Linked DNA regions of Drosophila melanogaster. The protein of the gene in region 2 interacts with the protein of the main gene of each other region in a pairwise test. Each region holds a gene or a part of one and is shown on either strand. Other genes may lie near its edges.

Region 1 (6,374 bases), on a different chromosome or scaffold from region 2:
CAAAAGAACACGGTCGTCATCGACGGACCCATCCACGAAACCGCCCCCAAGACAGCCAGTGCCAGGAGTCGGGTGCCCAATCCGAAAAGTGCGTTAGTTTGTTTATTTGGGTGTTTCGCCCATCGGTATTTGTTTCCCTAATGACATCCCTGCCCACATTTGCATTTGTACTGATTTTCAGTTCTGAGGCGCCAACAAAAGTCCATGTCCACCTTCAACTTGGGCATGGGTCTTAATGGCTGCTCCACCGGTGGGGCTAATGATCCGGGACGAGGAACCCTCTTCCGAATGTACTTTGACCGCGGCGACCTGCCCATAAAGATGGAGTACCTCTGCGGGGGCGACAAAATCGGATGGACGGTGAGTGGTGGGAATTATTTGGTAGGGCGCTAAATTCCATTAGGTTCGTTGTTAGTTGACTTATTAATTATACTATATATATGGTATTAAGTTATATTGTTCGAAATTTGGATAGGTCATACATTTAAACTTAATTCTTTTTAAGCCCTTACATTCGGGTAATGATTTATTTTTGTAACCATAGCTAGAATTTTCCATATGTCTGTTGGCAAACTTAAACTTCAACTATACAAATGTGAGTCAATGCAAATAAAAATCAAATGAAATTGCACGACTGTCACTAGAAAGGGGTAACCTTACCACTCGGTGACCCATAGACAAAGCCCATATTTGAATTTAGCTCGAGTTTCGTACACCTGCGTGTCCAATTATTTCAAGTGTTGCAGGTGAAAGCAAAAACCGAGTAAATAATATGCCATTGTCTATTTCCGGAGTTAGTAGAGCTCCACGGCTGACGGGCAAGCGATTCCGTCCGGAATGCGACTACTGACATTCAAAACGTCGCACCGTCCAACTGTCAGTCAATTTCCCATGGAACTCCGCTGCAATCGGAAAGTTATGTGTAACCAATTCCCACCCACCTCGCATGAGTGTGTGTGTGACCCCTTTGGCTGGTTCAATGTCACAGACCTTGGATGGCACTCCATATTCGATGTGGAGTCCACATATGCGGCGTATGTCATTTGGGTGGTGCGTTTGTTTATCTAGGCCGAAATGCCGTCGTGACAGGAGAGTGATATGTGAGTGACACTGCCTGATTTACGTCACGGGGTCGAAGGTCGATGTTGGGGAAACCCATATGTGAGGCTCACGCAGCTGCGATGCCAGCGATGTCGCCTTTGACTTAAATATAAAGTTGCTGTCTTCTTAAAATCAAAGTAAAATTCCTATTCTGAGTCATTCAGTCATATATGCAATACAATCTGGTTAAGATAGTGGGTTATATTATAACCCTTTGTTAGCTCAAATCAACTAAGCTAAGCTGGTAACTATACTCAAAGCAGACTCTCGAACAAAGATTAGTCTAGACTTAGCACTGCAAAGTCTATAGGCAGGTACAGGCCCATTTCTCGATGTGTTCTAAAAATTTTCCACTGACAACGTAAGCAAACAAAGAGCATCTTAATGGAAATCAGCTAGGGCGCCTAACCGGCATGGCGTGCAAATGTACACTTGCAAGACTTGCGCCACCGCCGGTACACGAACCAATTTCGAACTTGGAGCGGCTCTATTCACCTTTGACCCGCCAACGGTGTCACCTCTTCCCGTATCTCGCCTAGGTGGACATTGAAAAGCTGGACTACAGCCTCTATCTGCCGCTCTTCTTCGACGGACTGGCGGAGACGAAACATCCCTACAAGACCTATGCCCGCCAGGGGGTCACGGATCTCCTCTTGGCCGGGGGCGAGAAGATACACCCGGTGATACCGCAATTAATATTGCCGCTGAAGAGTGAGTACCAGGGCATTGGCTGGCACGCAAATGCCTCGAAGTTTTTCGGTCTAATTTGCACCTTGCCAATGCGAGCACAAAACCAAAACCAAATACGCCCCCATTTGCAGACGCATTGAGCACACGAAACCTGGAGGTAATGTGCACGACATTGAAGATAATCCAACAGCTGGTCATGTCCTCGGATTTGGTGGGACCCGCCCTGGTGCCCTTCTACCGCCAGTTGCTGCCCATGTTCAATGCATTTAAGGTGAAAAACTGTAGGTATTCCACTAAACTCGATTACTTCCAGTAACTTCCATTGAAGTGGATATTCTGTGCTGTATAGTAAACTGCGGCGATGAGATCGACTATGCCCAGAAGAACAATCTGAATCTGGGGGATCTGATCGATGAGACGCTGCAGGTGCTGGAACTGCATGGCGGCGAGGATGCCTTCATCAACATCAAGTACATGGTGCCGACCTACGAGTCCTGCTATTTAAATTAAACTACGCCTCATGGTCTTGTCCCTTTACATACAATATCATAAGTATTTATTGAATTTTACAAAACATTACAGCATTAAATAGATATTTGTTACCAAAGTGTTATGTGCGTTTAAATCGATATATGCTTGAGATTATAGTTGTGTATATATAATATATAATTGATTTTGACCAACATCCTGGTGGGGATGCTAGTCGCGTTTGGGGCACGTCAGCTGGAAGCGAACGTGGCCCCACTTTAGGTCATCACTTGGTGGGGGCGTACTCGTTCTTCTTCACATTGTGGGGGGAATAGCGATTGTACAATCCCCAGATGGAGTTCATCAGCTTGTCGTTGTACTTGTTGGGCGAGTACTCGCGTTCTGGAAATGCAAAATTGATGCGTATGAGCTCCATTGACCCAGCGGATCGAGATCGTGGATCGTCATGTGCACTTACGGGTTAGGGCGTTCCCGTTGTCAACGGAACCCTTATCTGCGGCAGCGGACCTCAGACGGGCGATGATCAGCTCACGTTCGTTGAATTGCTCGCGAATCTTGCAGGCTGCGAATGCACCTTGTGGAATGGCGGCCATCTTAACAACTGGAGGCGGAGGAGGAGCATCAAAAGTTAGTTATACATTGTAAATACATGGCTAAAATCACCACCCACCACTTAGGGAAATAACGCTCAGAAGGGAGATGATGAAGTCAAAGTTTCGCAATGGGCTTGTATTCCAGCACTCGGTGAAATGCTGATCGAGATTGATGATTTTTCCGCACTGCTGCAGCAGCATTCAAAGGCCAAACTGAAAGTCCGGAAAAAGTTTGTGGGATAGGGGATATTTCGCTTAGATCGAAATGTGTCCCAGTTTCTTTGGTTTTTGTTTTTTATCACAATTTCAACTATGAATCAGATTAGGCCAATTGGAATGGTTAGCTTTGCACGATGGATTTGGCATTTGATGCCTGTCGTTTTTTCTGGGATTTGCTCGATTGTCTGCGATTGTCTATGTCTGCTACTCGGAGATGAACACTCAGCACAAGGGTTCGGATTTAAACTGAAGACGTCGCCTGGCTGGGAATGGAATTTATAGAACGCGTGTTCGGATCGGATCGGTTCGGCTCGGAGCTGCCGCCAAGTGATAAGCGGGAGACAGGAGATCAGGCTGCCTTGATAGCGCGATTATAAAGCCGGCAAGTGATCGCCATTTTGTGCCACTTATCAGTTGCAGTTGTCATTGTTTTGGTTTTGCCTTTTTTTTTGTCATTTCCACACACAAGCCTATTTGTTTCCAAGCTCTACGGGAAGTTTCGATGGGGCTGGGAAGTAGATTTGTGTACTTGATATGGCTATCAGAGCCCTGGATCTATAGACCAGTTTTGCTTTTTAGCCGCAGCCAAGATGAAGGGCTCTCGTTCCCATCACGAGTGTCCCTGTACTCAAATGGCTGACAATCTTACGAGACTTTATTCCAAACCAGATTAATCCGGCTGCCAACACACTATAGCATGCTGGCAAAGGCATTTGTGATTATAATATTATTAAAAACTGACCTAAGTGCACGTTGTTTACTGAAATTTTCACTTCATTTTTGTTTTGGCGCAGACAAGGTGCAAAAGCATCAACACCTTAGATTTGACTTTGATTAGTCATGATCTCGGATTTTCGAAATATTTTCTGTATTGATTCCCTATTTCATTTCTATCAAGTTGTACAAAACAGTGCACTTGAAAAAATCTTATTTTGTTTTAAGTTAATTGTTTTTAATATATTATTACCAAAGACACTAGAATTCTTATTCTATTGTCTTATTCTAGTGTCTTTGTTAATACTTTTTTTACTATAAAGTGAATGATTGGTTGAATTTAAATATAAAGCCACGAGAAAGTTGTTTGATTCGATAAGGAGGTTACTAATAACACAGTTGAAAATATTCTATAAATAGAAGCAAGCTCACTTTATTTGCCAGTGTATTGAACATAAAATAATCGCTGTATAAACAAAGAACGGCCTACTAGTGAAACCAGTAAAGAGGTGGGTGATCGATCCGATGGGGATCATGGAGATGACCCTCGTAAATTGGTCTCAATAATACGATTAAAAATAAATCGTTTAGTCCAGTGACGCGCACAGTGTTTACTACAAAAAAATTAATCTTTGCACAACGCGGAGAGTCAGCCACGATGGCGATAATACTGGTGATGCTCTATGAAGTGGGTACAAAATTCTCACAGTATTCACACAGTTCCAAACACATTTAATTTAGGAACTACAAAAAAAAAGGCCAAAATAATATTTGGGTGATAAGGCGACTGATGGAAGCCACGAGCGTCTGAGATCACGTAGAGAGCCAAGCTTTTTCGCAGATTTGAACTCGGCGTGTGTGCCGATAATGAAGATCCTCGATGCCTTTTTTTTACCTTTTTTTTGCAGTGGCCTTTGTGTGCTAGGTCAACAATCTCTCAATGACTTTAGCAAAATGCTGATGTAACAATAACTCGCTTATCAGTTTCGGTTGGTTTTCGGGCAAACAAATATGGTTGTCCCAAGTTCTGTTTATGGTTTTAACTTTTGATTAATTATCATTTAAAAAAAATGCTAAATACTAAATACTAAATACTTGTAAGATAATAATGCATATAAGTAAATAAAACGTATCAAAGAACGTTTAAGAAAGGCAAACTGTTAATTGATGATTTTGAATTTGAAAAGGCGCCAACGAACTAATACCATTTCCAGCACTGACAAGAGTGCCACTGTTCTTTTATCAGGTGGCAACGCCCGTGCCAGACAACTAGGCTGCTAATTTCTAGTCAACGGCGAGGCTAAAATTAACAATTGGCTGTCAAAAGCAAGAAAAGAAAAACTCGGGAAATTGTTAATTAAAATCGTGACCCAGATCAGCGCATTCAGCCCCCGGACGCAGAGATGACGTGGAAGAAGCAGATGGCTCTGCTGGCCAAGCCATACTACTGGGTTAACATACTCCTGGCCATATCGTACCTTTTGGCCAAAAAGACGCAGTTCATCTGCACCCGCCTATTTATTCTCGCCGGAGAGGATGAAGCATGCGACCTGGACAGTCGTGAGGTGGAAATCTTGTTCTTCCTGCTAATCGTGGTGATGATACGGTCACGCAAAACGGGCAGTGTCACCATGATTAACTACTTGGCCTCGTCGTTCCTCTACACCAAAGTGGCCAACGCCATTTTGTGGGCCTACGCGGACTTCCGCTACGGCCTGGGCTTTCTGCTTCTATGCGTCCTGGTGGGCATGGTGCTGCCGGAGCCCTCGTATCGCGGACCCGAGCACATCACCTACTTCCGCAACGCACAGGTCTTCGAGGAGGAATTGGCCAGGGACAAGCGAACCAGCTGGCTGATCTGCTTCTACACGGTGTGGAATCCCAGCTGCGTGAACTTCGCCCCCGTTTTTGCTGAGCTCTCCGCCGAGTACAACACGGACCACCTGAAGTTCGGCAAGATTGACATTGGACGCTTTCCGGACGTGGCCCAAAAGTATCGCATCTCGGACAGCAGCTTCTCCCGACAGCTACCAACTGTGATCCTGTTCCAACAGGGCAAGGAGACGGACCGCAGGCCCTGCGTCGATTCCAAGGGTAAACTGCAAAAGTTCTTCTTCTCCAGCGACAATGTGCGCGCCACCTTTGGCCTTAACCAGCTGTACAAGGAGGCCATCGAACGACTACCCATTGCGCCCAAGGAGGCCAAGAAGGTCCAGTAGGCTGTCCTGTCCACCACTGGTGCCATCTCATTTCTGCGTGCACGTGCTAATAACTGTTATTCGTTTAGTTCATAGTTTATTTTAACTTATTGAGGAGCTGCCACCGCCAAAGACACGTACAATTGCACTAATATTTGCATTCTAAACTCAGACGTGCTCTCGTCGCGATGCCATTGTAGAAAATATTTGTATGATCTTGCATTTGCATAAATTGTAGCTAATCACCAGGTACCAAATATATTTAAAAATGTGAAATGAGTCAACGAAAATACGCAGTTCTTTTTTAATTCCCAGCCGAGTCTAACATTTCATTCAATTAGCACAGCTCAAACGATCATTTCCGGTGCTC
Region 2 (7,446 bases):
GAGCACTTTGAACTCGCTTTATTTTAAGCCTGAAAATGGAAAAATATAGAGAAAGGAGGCGTGGCAGGGCAAAATGAAAATGGAGCAGCAGATGTTGGTTTATAATAAAGTATAAATAAAGAACAGTATTTCTATTTCTTTTAAATATTTTAAAAACTTTCTTTAATCCTCTTCGAACACAATTATCTAACCAATATGGTACTGCCAAATATTCCTTAATTTCTAGCCGCTCCAATTGAATTTATAATTTTATTAAAATATCCTAAATGAAAATGGTGAGCCCTGGCTAGCTAATGGTTATGTTCCAGCAAGTCTGCTGCATGAATTTAATCTAATTAAAATCCTGGGAAATACCCCGTAATTATTCCCACTCGTCGGCGACTTGTTGCATACTTTAAGGAGCCTTTAAGCTGTCGCATTGCTAAGAGTCGGTCGCATTACGCATACGCCGCATTGTGCTGCGGCGGTTGGCTTTGGATTCATTAAATGTTATAAACTCATTACGCGTTTTGTCTGCCCGAATGGATATTGGATGAAGGGTGTGATAGGAGCTGAGGTGACAGGTGGTGGGTGGTGGGTGGTGTGTGTTGGGTGTTGGTGTGGTGTGAGTACACCCGAGTTGAACGAGAGTTGTTGGTTTGCTGTAATAACCACAAAACATCTGCGAGCACCACATACTCGCACACAGTTGCAAATGAAAATCTTTGTGCAGAATTAATTAAGTAAACAATACGAAAATTGTGGAAATTGCTTTGAATGCGTCCCCAAACACTCACACATAAGCTGCTTGGCCACACATACATACGTATATGCAAAAGTTATTGCCAGCAGCTGTTGTTGTTGCTCTTGTTGTTACACATTATTATTATGATGCTGCTTAATAGGCAACGCAACTGTGGGCAAAGCAGGCGGCTGGGGGCGCCTTTTGGGGGCATCACAGCCCCTTTGGCCCCTCCCCCCCTCCTAATAACAATCTAGCCATTGTCTGCGGCAACAATTAAGCCGCACTCTGCCTTAATGATAGAGCCACATGAAGAAAATGGCCAAAACAAAGGAGAGCAAAACTCCAAAGTGCATGAAAGGAAACTCGAAGAAAATGGCTGGGAAAATTCAGCGAGCATTTGGGGGGCGGACAAAAAACTTTTGATCATTCATGAATATTTAATCGGAAAAGCGATTGTCCCACTTCGCCAAGAACCAAATTAAATTCATGCATACAAACTATATGCATTTTATTACAATATCCGTAGTATATAAAGTTTTTTTTACATTTAAAGTCGTTTATTATCTCTTTAAAACGCATTTTTCAAGACCTAATGTCCAGTGTTCTTTTCTTCTATCATTCATTTAAGCATTGATCATTGTTTAGCTTTCATTTTAGGCATTTATCATTCAATTTACAAACTTTGAGATACATTCCAATCGGCACGTCTTTACCATACATTTTTTTTCGGCCGAATTGATAGTGTTGAACATAGAGTTGACATTGAGGCCAGATAAACAGAAATACAGGTGGACAGCGGAAAGAAGCTACAGATAGATATGCAAATCGATCGACTGCCAAAAGCAGAAATCGCCAAAACAAAGCCAGAAGAAAGAGGGGAAGTAGAAATGGTGATAGTGGACGATTTGAAGACGAAGCTTTGGGGCTCTCCCAAGATTTAGATGAAAAACAATGGGGCGAAGACAACGAAATTCGTTTGGCACTTTACTTGCGCATCATTAGCGTTATTCTCTCTTTGCTTTCGTTTAACACATATTGGTTAGAAAGCTCGGCCAAAAAGATAAAAATAATACGGTTGGCGAGGGGCGGCAGAGGGCGGGATTATATTATGGTTTATCTCTTGTGAGCTGAACATATTTTATGAGCGCGACATAAAAAAAAAAAAAACAGCGTTTTGGGTCAAAGTTTGTAAGTTCTCCGCCATTTGGGTTGTCGTAAAGGCACTGAAAAAAATCGACGGGCAATCAAATCACTTAAAATATAATAAATATCAGAAAATAAATATTAGCATAGTTTTCAAGTATGTAAAGAGGTTTTTGAGTATATGATGTTTAAGTATTAAGTATTAAGATTACATCCATTCTGCTGACAACTCCCTTTCTCTCACTGCATCGAGAAAGCGTGTGCCCAGATCAACTCCCTCTGAAGTTTATGGCTGCACTAAAATTAACCTATTCGATCCGAGATGAGGCCTGAATGCGCCGCCTTGTCTTTCGGTTTTATTATCGATTTCGATGCTGTGCGGTTTGCTCAGCTGCCAAAGTAAACTATAAGCTATAAACAACAGCCATGACAAGACAGAAATTCGTCGCTACCGTTTGCTGGATTCTATGTCAAGATCAGTGAAGTGCCGAGTACCGAATACCAAATACCAAACACCGAAAAACCCAAAGCCGAATTCCCAGCCGAAAGAAATCGAAATCGAAGTCAAAAAGTCGTTACAAGCTTTTTTTGTACTTTCACTTGTGCAAACACGCGGCCAAGAACGCCAAAGATGTTTAGAGCTCTCGGAGAGCAGGGTCATCAGCATCACATACACTGCGCGAAAATACGAGAAATTCATGTACTGTGCATCTGTGCTATATTAATGTATCTCAAGGCATAATGCTGTTGAAGGTGTTTAAACTAAGTTATAAAATTCATATATTTAAGAAATACTTTATACATATTTATATCTGATCTTTTAATATATTATTTCTAGTGCTCTTCAGAACCATTACTATGCTTGCTTGTAATTTTCCCAAGTGTACTTTTCCATCACGATCATCAGCGTCATGATGATCATCGTCTTCACGGGTCTTTTGGAGTTACAAGCGAGTCGAGTTCTTCAGTAGCCAGCCACGGGGCAAACCATTCGGTCCAGAAGAGCGTGTCTTAAGATCTCGGTTAACTCCCCCAGTTCTTCGCTCCTCTATTTCTTTTTTTTTTCTGGTGTTGCTCAGTGACAGTGAGTGTGCAAGTGTGTGTGGTGTTTTCGGTGGTGCATGACCCTTTGACCGCATGCCCGGTCACGTGAACCACCTTCTGCTCCTTGGCTGCCTGCTCTGCCTGCTCGGCGATGTGCCGAGAATCGAGGCTTTCCACCGCTGGAGTCCCATGATGAAGGCCTTCCGCTATCTCCAGGAGACCATGCTCCGGAATAGCCTGGAACGTGCCCATCTCAATCATGGCATCGTCTTCGAGTGTCGCACCATGTAAGTGGGTGTAGGTTTTGTATTCAGCTTTATTCATCTGTTCTTCAATTTTAAAGTTTTTTCAAACAATTTTATAGTTTCCATAATAAATGCGTATTTTTAGCTAAGAACTTCGACTTTTTTCCAGATCAGCTAAGGATTTTGGTAATGAAGTGCATTTCAATCTGCAGCTTGGAGACCTTCGAGGATTTCGTCGCCTCGATCCTAACAAAAAGTTGGCCCTATTTTTGCACGGCTGGAATGATCAGGGCAGCAAGGATTGGGTGCAAGAGTTATTGCTAAGTATGTATACTCACCTTATCCACATAATCATCATTCGAATTTCGGTTCTTATACCCAGCTTGGACCCTATTCGACTCCAATTACAATGTGTGCGTTGTGGACTGGGGAAATCTGTCGCAGAACGACTACAAGTCCGCATCCATGTCCATTTTCGATGTGGGTCTAACGGTGGCTGGAATCATCATGGCCCTGGAGGAGCTGCGTCCCAATCACTTTCATCGAAGCAACGTGACCTTGGCGGGCTACAGCTTGGGTGCCCATGCCGCTGGATATGCGGGCGCAGTGTTGGAGGGTCAGGTGGAGCAGATCATAGGCTTGGATCCCGCTGGACCGCTGTTCTCGCTGCCCGCCGAGGTGGCGCCCAAGTACCGCCTGGATCCAGGAGATGCGCAGTTCGTCCAGGTACTTCACACTTCCGGCGGCTCCTTGGGCACCAGTCTGAAGTGCGGCCACGCCGATTTCTATCCCAACGGAGGCAGGGCGCCGCAAACGAATTGCAAGATGTTCGCCAATCTGCGTGACATGCAAAATACCAGTAAGTCAAGGCCATCTATATCATAGGATTATTTCAAAGATAAGCCGCTTATTTAATATGTAATCTCGCTGAAGAGCTATGAAATAAGATACAAACCATTATCATTCGGCAGATCCCGTTTCCTGCAGTCACTCGGCGGCTGCGATCTTCTTCCGGCAATCGATGGATCCCGAGTACCCGTTCGTGGGCTACGAGTGCGGCAGCTACCGGGAATTCGCCGCCGGATATTGCGATGGCAACCGGAAGGCGCGCTTCGGTATCCATTCGCAGAGGCGTGCGCAGGGTAGCTTCTATTTCCGCACCGCCCCCCAGCAGCCGTACGTGCCGAGGCGTCAGACCAACTGGCTGAGCGGGGTGGGGCGAATGTCGTCGAGCAAGGTCAGTCAGGTTAGCCAAAGCCCCCTGGTGCTGCGCCTCTGGACGAACAGCTGGCGGCGGCGCGAGCGAGCGAGAGAGCGACAGCGAAGAGACAGAGACAGAGAGAGTGATCGCTGTGCGTGAATAAGTAGTTCCTAGTGTTTTGTTAGTGTTAAAATAAACGCAGCCTAAATGTATGCAATCATTTTATGATGGAAAAGAGACGTGACAGCCTAAGGGTTAATCAACAATCAACAGCACATTGTTGGATAAAGTTTACTGTAATAATATGTCTAACAAAACAATGTATTTTCATTTCACTTTATTTTGTGCTGCGATTCTATTTATAACTCCCACAAACCAATATTCCTTAAAAAAAACAGATGATACTTAAGATACTTAAGCTTACTTAAAATCTCTAGCGAGTTCATCGTAATTCGCCGAAGTTTCTCACAAGAATATAAATCTCTAGAGCGTTTTTATTTTTTTTTTTACTCTTAACGAACGTAGCAGTAAATATTTCCGTTCAATTTGGCAGCCAGCCGGTTTTCGCCATGTTCTTGTAAACTGCATAAAAAATAACAAGAAAGCCAAACGGCCAAACACACATGGAAAAGTCGTTGACTTGCAGCCACAAAACGGCGAAAAGTCGGCTGCATTTAACAGTTAATCGTAAAGCAAAATTGTGAGAGAAAAAGAAAATAGAAAATGGAAAATGGAAAATGGCGGAACAAGAACAAGCAGCAGAAAACAATAAACTGAAATTCAATTTTCGCATTGTAAAACATAATTTTCTACAAAACTTGACGTCAGCTTGGCCCGCTTTTTGCTAAAAGGTAGTTAATATTTTTGCAGTCCATTGCGGCCGTGCCCCGCCCCCGCGCCCCTCTCACAGCACCGGAAAAATAAGTATGTACTCTAGTAGAAAAATCAAAAAAACTATTTAAGTCATATGTTTGAGTACAAAATTTATTTAAATATCATGTAATAAACAAACATTAAATATAAATCCTAATTTTTTAATAATATTGTTATTAAACTAGTTGTTTGAATTAATCAGTCCGCTACTTATATGTTACAACGTTTTTTCGTCGAGTGCAGCTATCCCGTTGTACATTCCACTCGAGTTGTTCTTGCTTTTTCCCGTTGCTCCTTGCCACTGTTGTTGTTATCGTTGTTGTTGCTCCGCCTGCTGCTTCCTGTTTTGTAGCTGTTTTTGAAATTTATGGCGGCGTCGTCGCCTCTGCCGGCGTCGCTGCCGCCGACGACTTCTTCGCATGAGTTATGCGCTTTTTATTTCCAGCTCCTGGCCACGTTAAGTGTTAAATTGTTTTATGCATGCACGTGTGTGGGAGAGAGAGAGAGAGTGAGCAAGAGAGGTGTCAGTAGTGGTGGAGAAAGGGAGGGCGAATAGGAAGCTCGGACTCGCCATTTAATTATGAAAGTTGATTTCAAGGAATAGCGAAAGCGGGAAAGAGAAAGCCAATGGAATGTGTGTGGCTTTTGGTCAAGTGTTAGTGTTGTTAGTGTTGCAACAGGATAAGAAAAAATTTGAATGAAATTCTAAAAAAAAGCAGCACACAGAACTATTATCTAAACGGTCGCACCTTTTAGATTTGAAATGGTGAAATGGTGAATGGCATTTGACAACATTTAACTTTTAAGACACATAAATACAAAACTGTTTACAATTCCTTGAGCCTTGTACACATAATGGAAAATAATAAACTCATGAAAAACTCATGAAATTTAAGTGCTCTTTTTAAACTTATACCGTTTAAGCAGTATATGTGTTTTATTTGTTTTTATTGCCCTTAATTTCTGGGCAACCAAGCAAAGGTGAATAAAGGGAAGGGAACAAGAGGGAAAAGGAGCAGTTTTTTGTGCTCCGCTGACTCGAACCGCTAAAGTAGCACGCGTTAATGCGAAAATCACTTACACACACACTCAAACACACACACACACACTTGCAGTGGTGTGCGAGAGAGACAGGGAAGAAACTCCTGTAAAATCTAAAGCAAATTAACGTTTTAAACACCTCAAAAGTTTCGTGCATTCTCATGGTCCTTAACTCTAAGACCCTCTCTTTCTTTTTCCTTCGGCCGTCTCATTCTTTTCTATCCTACCCTCTCATTCTTTCCTAGCCCGCCCTCTCTATTCATTGCACCTGACGTCCTTGCTGATCCTGGCGCAAAGTTAAGTGTTTCTTTAGCTTAATAACGGAAACATTTTAGTTGCTGTTATGGAAAGCAGCTGGAGAATGGAGACTAGAAAGAGAGGTATAGAGGGCTGCACAGAGAGAGAGGCCAGCAGGCAACTTGAGCGATAGACGCTTACACATAAACACATTCAAACGCTTCCGGCAATGTGTAATAGCTGTACAAGGACGAACTGCTCCTGCTCCTGTGGAAAATGTAAAAAAAAAAGTACTCCGGAGAGGTGGAAGCGAGGAAAGAAAGGAATGCCCTCCAGTGGCTGTAAATAACTCGCAGCAGGTGCCGTCCTCATCCAACGGTAAACGTCCGACGTCCAACTCCCTGCTACGTCCAACTCCCCAATTCCTGAAGACATCGTCAATGGGAAAACCTGCGAAATACCAAGGATAGGGGCGACAGACAGAAAGGACCCGCCAGAGAATTGCACAGCTCGAAAATAACATCCGATATCGCTTTCAGACGATAAAATAGGCAAAGGCAAATATACTTGGGAATTCAATTTTCTAATGATATATAATGCTATCAAATGAATATGAACACAATATCGGCTTTATGGGTTTTTATTGTTTTGCATTTCGTTTAACATTTTTAACAGTCTCAAAAGGATTTACATTTTTGTAAGTGTGCCAAAGGAACATCGGCTAGCGGCAACATTTTCTTTTGATTACACGGCGTGTGGTCCTACCATTGTTCTCCCCACCACCCACACTCTACCCACTTGGAAAACCCCATTTTCCACCGCCCATTTCCCACAGAGGTCCCCGCATAAGTGCAAATGAGCATGAAAGATGAAATATTAAGAGTCGTCTTGGACTTTGGTTTTTTTTTTTCATCTTTGGGTCCTGACTCCTAAGGGAT
Region 3 (6,474 bases), on a different chromosome or scaffold from region 2:
TCATAAATAATAATCTTTAATATATATATATATAAATATAATAACAAAACTCACTTGCAGTTAGTTGCAGCTGGTTATAAAACAAATTGAAATCATGCTGAAATAGCTAGTAGTTAGATGAGTAGATCCAAGGATAGTTTTTATTGCTATGGTAACTAAAGTGCTATAATTATGCACTTAAAGTTTGCATTTTAAAATGTATTTTGCTAAATAAAAGCACGGAAGTCAGCTGCGAGCTGCCACATGGCATGGCCACAACTCACTATATAAATATTTATGATCCAATGAAGCACACACGTTTACTTGCAACCAATCATCGCGTATCTTGATTGAATGTCGAATGCCAAGAATGTATATATTCATGAAATATCTTCATTAATATCAAATCTTCATTAAGTAAATGTCCAAACAGTTGAAGTTGCGAATGAGTTGGGCAAATATTTTGATGCCTACTCGCCCCACACGATATTCTCGATCCAGTCGGTATACAAATGTACTTTGGTGTACACACTGGGCAGTCCCTGGACACCGCAGACCAATCCATAGGAGGTGATGCCAATCACTTGCTTCAGGCACGAATATATGGGATGCTGCACGAAGACAGGACCGCCGGAGTCGCCATAACAAGTATCCGCACTGGTGGACCGCGATCCCGCACACAATTGGGTGCGCACATCGATCTTGTGCTCCAGTCGCTGGCTGCACTCGGCCACATCGTATCGATCGAGACTCACCTTGAGCAGATGCGACGAGGCGTGTCCACTCTCCGAGGTGGCGCCCCATCCGGCGGCTGCCACCTGCAGTTGCTCATTTCCGCCATCGAGCGGCAGGCAGGCAGGTGCCACATACTCGCTGAAAGTCGCCTCCATTTCCAGCTCCACCACGGCAATGTCGTTCTTGCGACTGCCCGTGTCATCATCCTCGCCGTACGCCGGATGCACCACATAGTTGAGTACCCGGAAATCCTGCGGCTGGGCATCATCCGTGGTGCTATTGTAGTCCAGTTCGCCCAATCTGACCACGTACTTGGGGCCATCATAGTTGGGATCCAGACGCTGCTCCTTGGTCCTGAGGTAAATCAACAAATTAAATCACTATTTGAGTTGGATGAACGATTGATGTCAAAACTGGCTTGTACCAAATTCCTATTTCCACGTAGGAAAGATTTTGGGAAACAATGTTTAAAACATGATGTTTTTATCTGTATTGTCTTAATATATTTAGACCATTATTTTCTATACCATTATGCGAATTAATTTATGCCGCAAACGCATTAGCGGTGACGAATGGATTCAGATAATCAGATGCGAATTTATGCTGATTTTTTTTGAACTTTTTTTGAACTAAATTCCAAGCGACAAATAAGAGGCTGCGCTAAATAAATTAAATTTATATGTCTAACATATTTTTAATAAATTAAATTAAAAAGTGTAGTGATGTAAATTAATTAAAGCTAGTAGCTAAATAAAGAAAGTTGTTTTTAAGAAAGGAATTTATTGACTTTTGCTTTTGTTGAATATTTATTACTATTCATGTTTGTGTCTTAATTACACTGTTATTTTAATCAACTTCTAAGTGATTCTTCTGATTACTTTAGCATTTCAATTAAATTCCACTTACTCGCTGGTTTCCAGGCAATGGGCAGCGGTGAGCACGAACTTGGGATGGATGATAATGGCACCGCAGTCCCAGTCGATTTGTGATGAGTTTTTCCCACGCTGACCCAGCAGCGCCATGAAGGGAAATTCCCGGCCAGCGGCCTTGGCGCCGCCCACAATGAAGGGAGTGGTGCGGCAGGAAGTTCTTATCTCGTTGAAGCGACGGCATTCTGTTTGGATGCATATATATGTATATATATATATGTATAATATTTCACAGATGATTTGTCGCAGAAACTGACCCTTTTCGAATCTCCTGAGGCCAATATTTGCGGAGAATTGCTGCGATTGAGGTTGCATATTGTTGGGCAGCAGACAACAAACAATGTGGTTGGATTTATCGCAATATTTCACAAAATTTCTGATTAGATGCAGATTGAAGAATATAGACGGGCAATCCGTGGCACTCAGTTCCTTGCACTCTCCAGTTCCATTATCGCAGAATTCGGATAAAATACTGCATATTACTGCCAAGATTAACAGAATCCCGAATATCACTTGCATTTCAGACGACGACTATTTCAAAACTGACCACCGAAAATAAAAACTTGGAAAGTTAGTTGATAAGCGGATAAGTAATAATGAGAGTTTAGAAACCAGACCATAATACCATTTTTTATTATGGGAATTATTGTATAAAGCTGATAGAAGCATTAAGTAAAAAGTTAGCAGAATCTATTAATAAGATATCGTGGTATTATTATTCCTATCTTTTTTGACATGTTAACAAGATTTTAAAACTTTTTAGTTAGCGAATTCACACACCTTGTCAGTGATGCCACTCTTTTGTACCGCAAGCAGAATGGTTGGAAACATCGATAAAATCGAACACATTTCTTCTTGTTCCACCCTACCCTAAAATTAGGCAGACCGTTCGTGGCTAATTGAATAATTTGCAAAAAAAGCATGCAAAACAAATTGATCTATTCATAACAAATATAACAATATGATTTCATAAATGAGTTATAAATAGCAGAAATTTACTTGATATTGAACCTGTAAACAATTTTTATTCACATTTATAATTAGTAAATAACTTTTCAATGAGTATGTTCTTAGAATAAGAAATTTATATAATTTAAATGCCGCCAAAAGTCACTGCAAATTTATAGCTGATCCCGTAGCTAAGTTTCACAAACTAAGCAAACATCGCGAAATATTAATTCATAGTACATATTGAAGATAGAAAAGAACATCCAAGAAGCGATAAATTGATATTAGTTTGACTTATATTTAATAAAACTAATAAATAACTTTGTAAATGTAGAATCCGTTTTTATGTTGTGTCGGTATGTCTAAAATATCACGATGGTATTTGTAGTATATTTTCACTGTTCAGCCGGTATTTTTAGCGTACGTTTGCGCGGTCACACTGCTTTAAATCTCTTTCCGTTTTTGTGCGCAACCAAAAAAGATGGCCGATGTAAATATCTATACAAAAATCCAATGAAAAACTCGGCATCCGTGCGGGTATCGAACAAAATGCCATACGAAACACCATTAGAAGACTTCGTTGCACGGCTGCTGATGTTATTCTGGAGTTTCGCAGCGCGATTTACCGGCTGAATGTGAAACTAATGTCGGTGTTTTTTTTCGTTCTATGCAGCAAGTCGATGAAAATCTGAAGAAGAAGCGTACCTTCAAGAAGTTCACCTACCGCGGTGTCGACTTGGACCAGCTTCTGGACATGCCCAAGTGAGTTGCCAGCCCCCAAAACGCCCGCTGTAATCAGCAAATAAATGTGATTCCTTCGCCCAATTTAGCAACCAGCTGGTGGAGCTGATGCACAGCCGTGCCCGCAGGCGTTTCTCCCGCGGACTGAAGCGCAAGCCAATGGCTCTGATCAAGAAGCTGCGCAAGGCCAAGAAGGAGGCACCGCCAAATGAGAAGCCCGAGATTGTCAAGACCCACCTGAGGAACATGATCATCGTACCCGAGATGACCGGCTCCATCATTGGCGTCTACAACGGCAAGGACTTCGGACAGGTAAGAGTGAAACAGAGAAGGACAACTTTTTAGAGCACTACATGGTGTGTCAATCGCTAATCCTTGTTCCCGCCAAAATGCTCCTCATGCATCTTGGTTAGGTTGGAGCTAAGAAGATGAAGATTATCATTTGAAAGTGATTGACAAACTAGGTAGAGAGCTCTAAAAGATAACCCCTCTCAATGTCCCCATCTAGATCCTAGATCCACACAACTAACACCCCATTTTCCCCCATCCACAGGTGGAGGTCAAGCCCGAGATGATCGGTCACTACCTGGGCGAGTTCGCCCTGACCTACAAGCCCGTCAAGCACGGTCGTCCTGGTATCGGTGCCACCCACAGCTCCCGTTTCATTCCTCTGAAGTGAGCGCTGCTCGTCTTTTGGGCTGTTGAGATGAATGATGCGTGAATAAATGAAACGTACTTTTATAAGAACACACCCCCCTCGTCTGCGTTGCGTTTTCCATCTAATGCTTTTCCAAAAGTAAAGGAGTGGTCGCCACTTAAGAAATGTACGTTATCTATTTATTGGAACTTTTAAATCAGTGGCCGCTCGTCTGTCCCCCTGGGAAGCTATCTGCGCTGTCGCCGGGCGATGTTGTGGCTGCTGGAGCTGGTGGTGCGATCGTAGGCGGTGTCCTTCATCAGCGAGGGACTTCTGCTGGCCGCCACCGCCATCTCGCTGACATCGACCGATCCGTAGGCACTGTCTTTAACTTGAGAAGCATATGGGAGATTAGCGTAGCTCGAGTGCCGGGCATCGCGAAGCTCTGAAAGTGCGGCAAGGATGACTATTAGTGACAATTAGAGTCGGCGGTCTTGTCATCGCCGAAAGAAGGAGCTCTTGCTGGGTGTTAGGCCCGTGGATGTTTGCAGGTGCTGGTTGAGCTGCTGCAGGCTGTGGCTCTGGCCGTGGTTAAAAGCGCCCAAAGCGGGATAAGCGGCGGTGGCTATGGAGGATTTGAGGATGCTGCGACTGGAGCCGCGGGTGCCCACTCCAATTGAGTTCTTTGCGGCGGGATTGGTGTTCACATCGAAGGTGGTTAGCAGGGGATTGTTGCTCTGGGTGCGCTGGTTCAGCCGAGGATCAGCCTCACCTAGACGATTCAATTCGGTCTCCATGGACGTGTACATAGTCAGGTTGCTGGCCAGCAGATCCTGCCGCGAGCCCAGTGTCATTAGGCTGTCCGCGTTGTTCAGCGTGGACGCTGTGGTGCTGTAGTTGGAGGCGGGACTGGCCGACTTGGAATACGCCATGGCCACCTGACCCATCTCGCTGGGTCCCTGCTGCAGTGCACCCGTGCGTGGATCGAAGTGCTTTTGGGTGGCGTCCTTCAGGGTGCTGTTAATCTCCTTTGCGCTCTCCGCCGGACTTGTGGGCTTGCGCAGCGACGATATATGCCCGGGTAGCGGCTCGCGCGAGACCGACGAGGATGGGGATGCCGAATTGGTCTCCTCGTTCTCCTCCTGCAACAAAGTTGGCGGCCATTAACATGTAACCAATCTTTATGCTAGGTAGGTATTTCTGTCTAGTTACTTCACCTCCCCAATAAGAACCCCATTCCTTATGCCAACTCTCACCTCGTCCTCCTCCGTAATGATGGACGACTCTATCCAGTCTTTGATGCGGTTCTTCTTCTGCTGCCGGTCCACATTGGTCTCGATACCGCAGTCGGCCAGGGTGTAGAGCAGCTTGTTCTTCTCATCCGGGCTGCTGTGGAAGGAGTACATGGAGGGGCACAGTTCGTCCGTCTCGTACTCGGCCATCTCCTTCTGGGCGGTCTTGGCCAGCCATCGGTCGTCTAGGAACTTGGTAACATCGGCCAGGCTCTTGGGTCGATTGGAGATCCTGGCAAAGAAGCGCTTGAACATCCGCTGCGCATTCGAGGTGAGCAGCTTGAAAAGTCGTGGAGTTCGCCGCAGCGGCATCATCATAAGTCCGCCCTGCCAGGCCAGATAGCGCACATAGCGCGGATCATCGGAGGCAGCCTTCTGCCAGGGCAAACAGCCAGTTAGACACACAAAAATCACAATGCCAAACTGCCAAACATCGTGGCTGGGATCGGCTCTGGAAATGTGTAAATATATTCGATCTCAAATCGAAGGATTTTTGAAAAGGATTGTAATAGTTACTTGTAACTGCCCTCGGGCTTAATTTCTAATACTTCTGGCGGACTGTAGGGCAACCACTCGTTGCGTCGCTCCACAGTGGAGCCTGTGGGAAAGGACTCGCCGAAATCGCAGAGCTTGATGCGCTGGAAGTCCGAGCGATAGATGAGCACATTGTCTAGCTTTATGTCCCGATGCACTATGTCTCTGTGGAATGGGAAATATTTCTAGGGTTATATGATGCCTCAAGAGGAGTGCGAATTTTAGAAAAAGATCCTTTCGTTCACTTAAGATACAGTACAACTTACTTTGAATGCATGTAGTCAATGGCCGAGGCCAATTGTTTCGCCACCCGCTTGCTGTAAACTTCGCCCACACCCGAATCGGTCACGTTCGATGTGAGATCCCCTGCAATTTGAAGATATTTAATATATAGATATATAAATATTGTTATTATAGGAGTTACCCACCTAGTGGAGCATACTCCTGGGTGAAAACGTAGAAGCCCGCTGTCTCAAAGGCCACGTCGTAGGTGGTCACAATGTGTCGATGGACTCCCAAGTGGAGTCCATAGTGGAATTCCCGGTAAAAGTCACGCAATGTCACATATGGTTTGGGTACAGCTTTCAGGACCATCTCCGTCTGTGATCCCCGATGCTCCACCAGTAGAATCTTCCCGAACCATCCTTCGCCAACGATCTGTATGATATCAAACTCGTCC

The links.
Region 1: the proteins of CG1986 (region 2) and CG16926 interact in a two-hybrid assay, tested with the Drosophila melanogaster proteins (one large-scale study listed by BioGRID).
Region 3: the proteins of CG1986 (region 2) and RpS15 interact in a two-hybrid assay, tested with the Drosophila melanogaster proteins (one large-scale study listed by BioGRID).

Annotation. Positions count from the first base shown.
Region 1 is NT_033778.4:19,497,979-19,504,352, forward strand, and holds CG16926 (uncharacterized protein), read right to left. Parts: upstream 3,441-6,374; 5' UTR 3,075-3,440; coding exon 2,951-3,074; intron 2,882-2,950; coding exon 2,738-2,881; intron 2,662-2,737; coding exon 2,546-2,661; 3' UTR 2,317-2,545; downstream 1-2,316. Other genes in the region: CG15120 (uncharacterized protein), read left to right, coding at 1-88, 182-360, 1,641-1,812, 1,923-2,072, 2,141-2,301; CG11007 (uncharacterized protein), read left to right, coding at 5,210-6,025.
Region 2 is NC_004354.4:9,906,514-9,913,959, reverse strand, and holds CG1986 (uncharacterized protein), read left to right. Parts: upstream 1-2,833; 5' UTR 2,834-3,004; coding exon 3,005-3,198; intron 3,199-3,325; coding exon 3,326-3,480; intron 3,481-3,538; coding exon 3,539-4,015; intron 4,016-4,127; coding exon 4,128-4,516; 3' UTR 4,517-5,297; downstream 5,298-7,446.
Region 3 is NT_033778.4:16,567,796-16,574,269, reverse strand, and holds RpS15 (ribosomal protein S15), read left to right. Parts: upstream 1-3,039; 5' UTR 3,040-3,072; coding exon 3,073-3,081; exon of another isoform or gene 3,082-3,258; coding exon of another isoform or gene 3,259-3,264; coding exon 3,265-3,353; intron 3,354-3,421; coding exon 3,422-3,644; intron 3,645-3,885; coding exon 3,886-4,011; 3' UTR 4,012-4,158; downstream 4,159-6,474. Other genes in the region: CG4927 (uncharacterized protein), read right to left, coding at 450-1,068, 1,621-1,828, 1,901-2,162; CG4945 (uncharacterized protein), read right to left, coding at 4,467-5,111, 5,226-5,712, 5,778-5,960, 6,062-6,161, 6,224-6,474.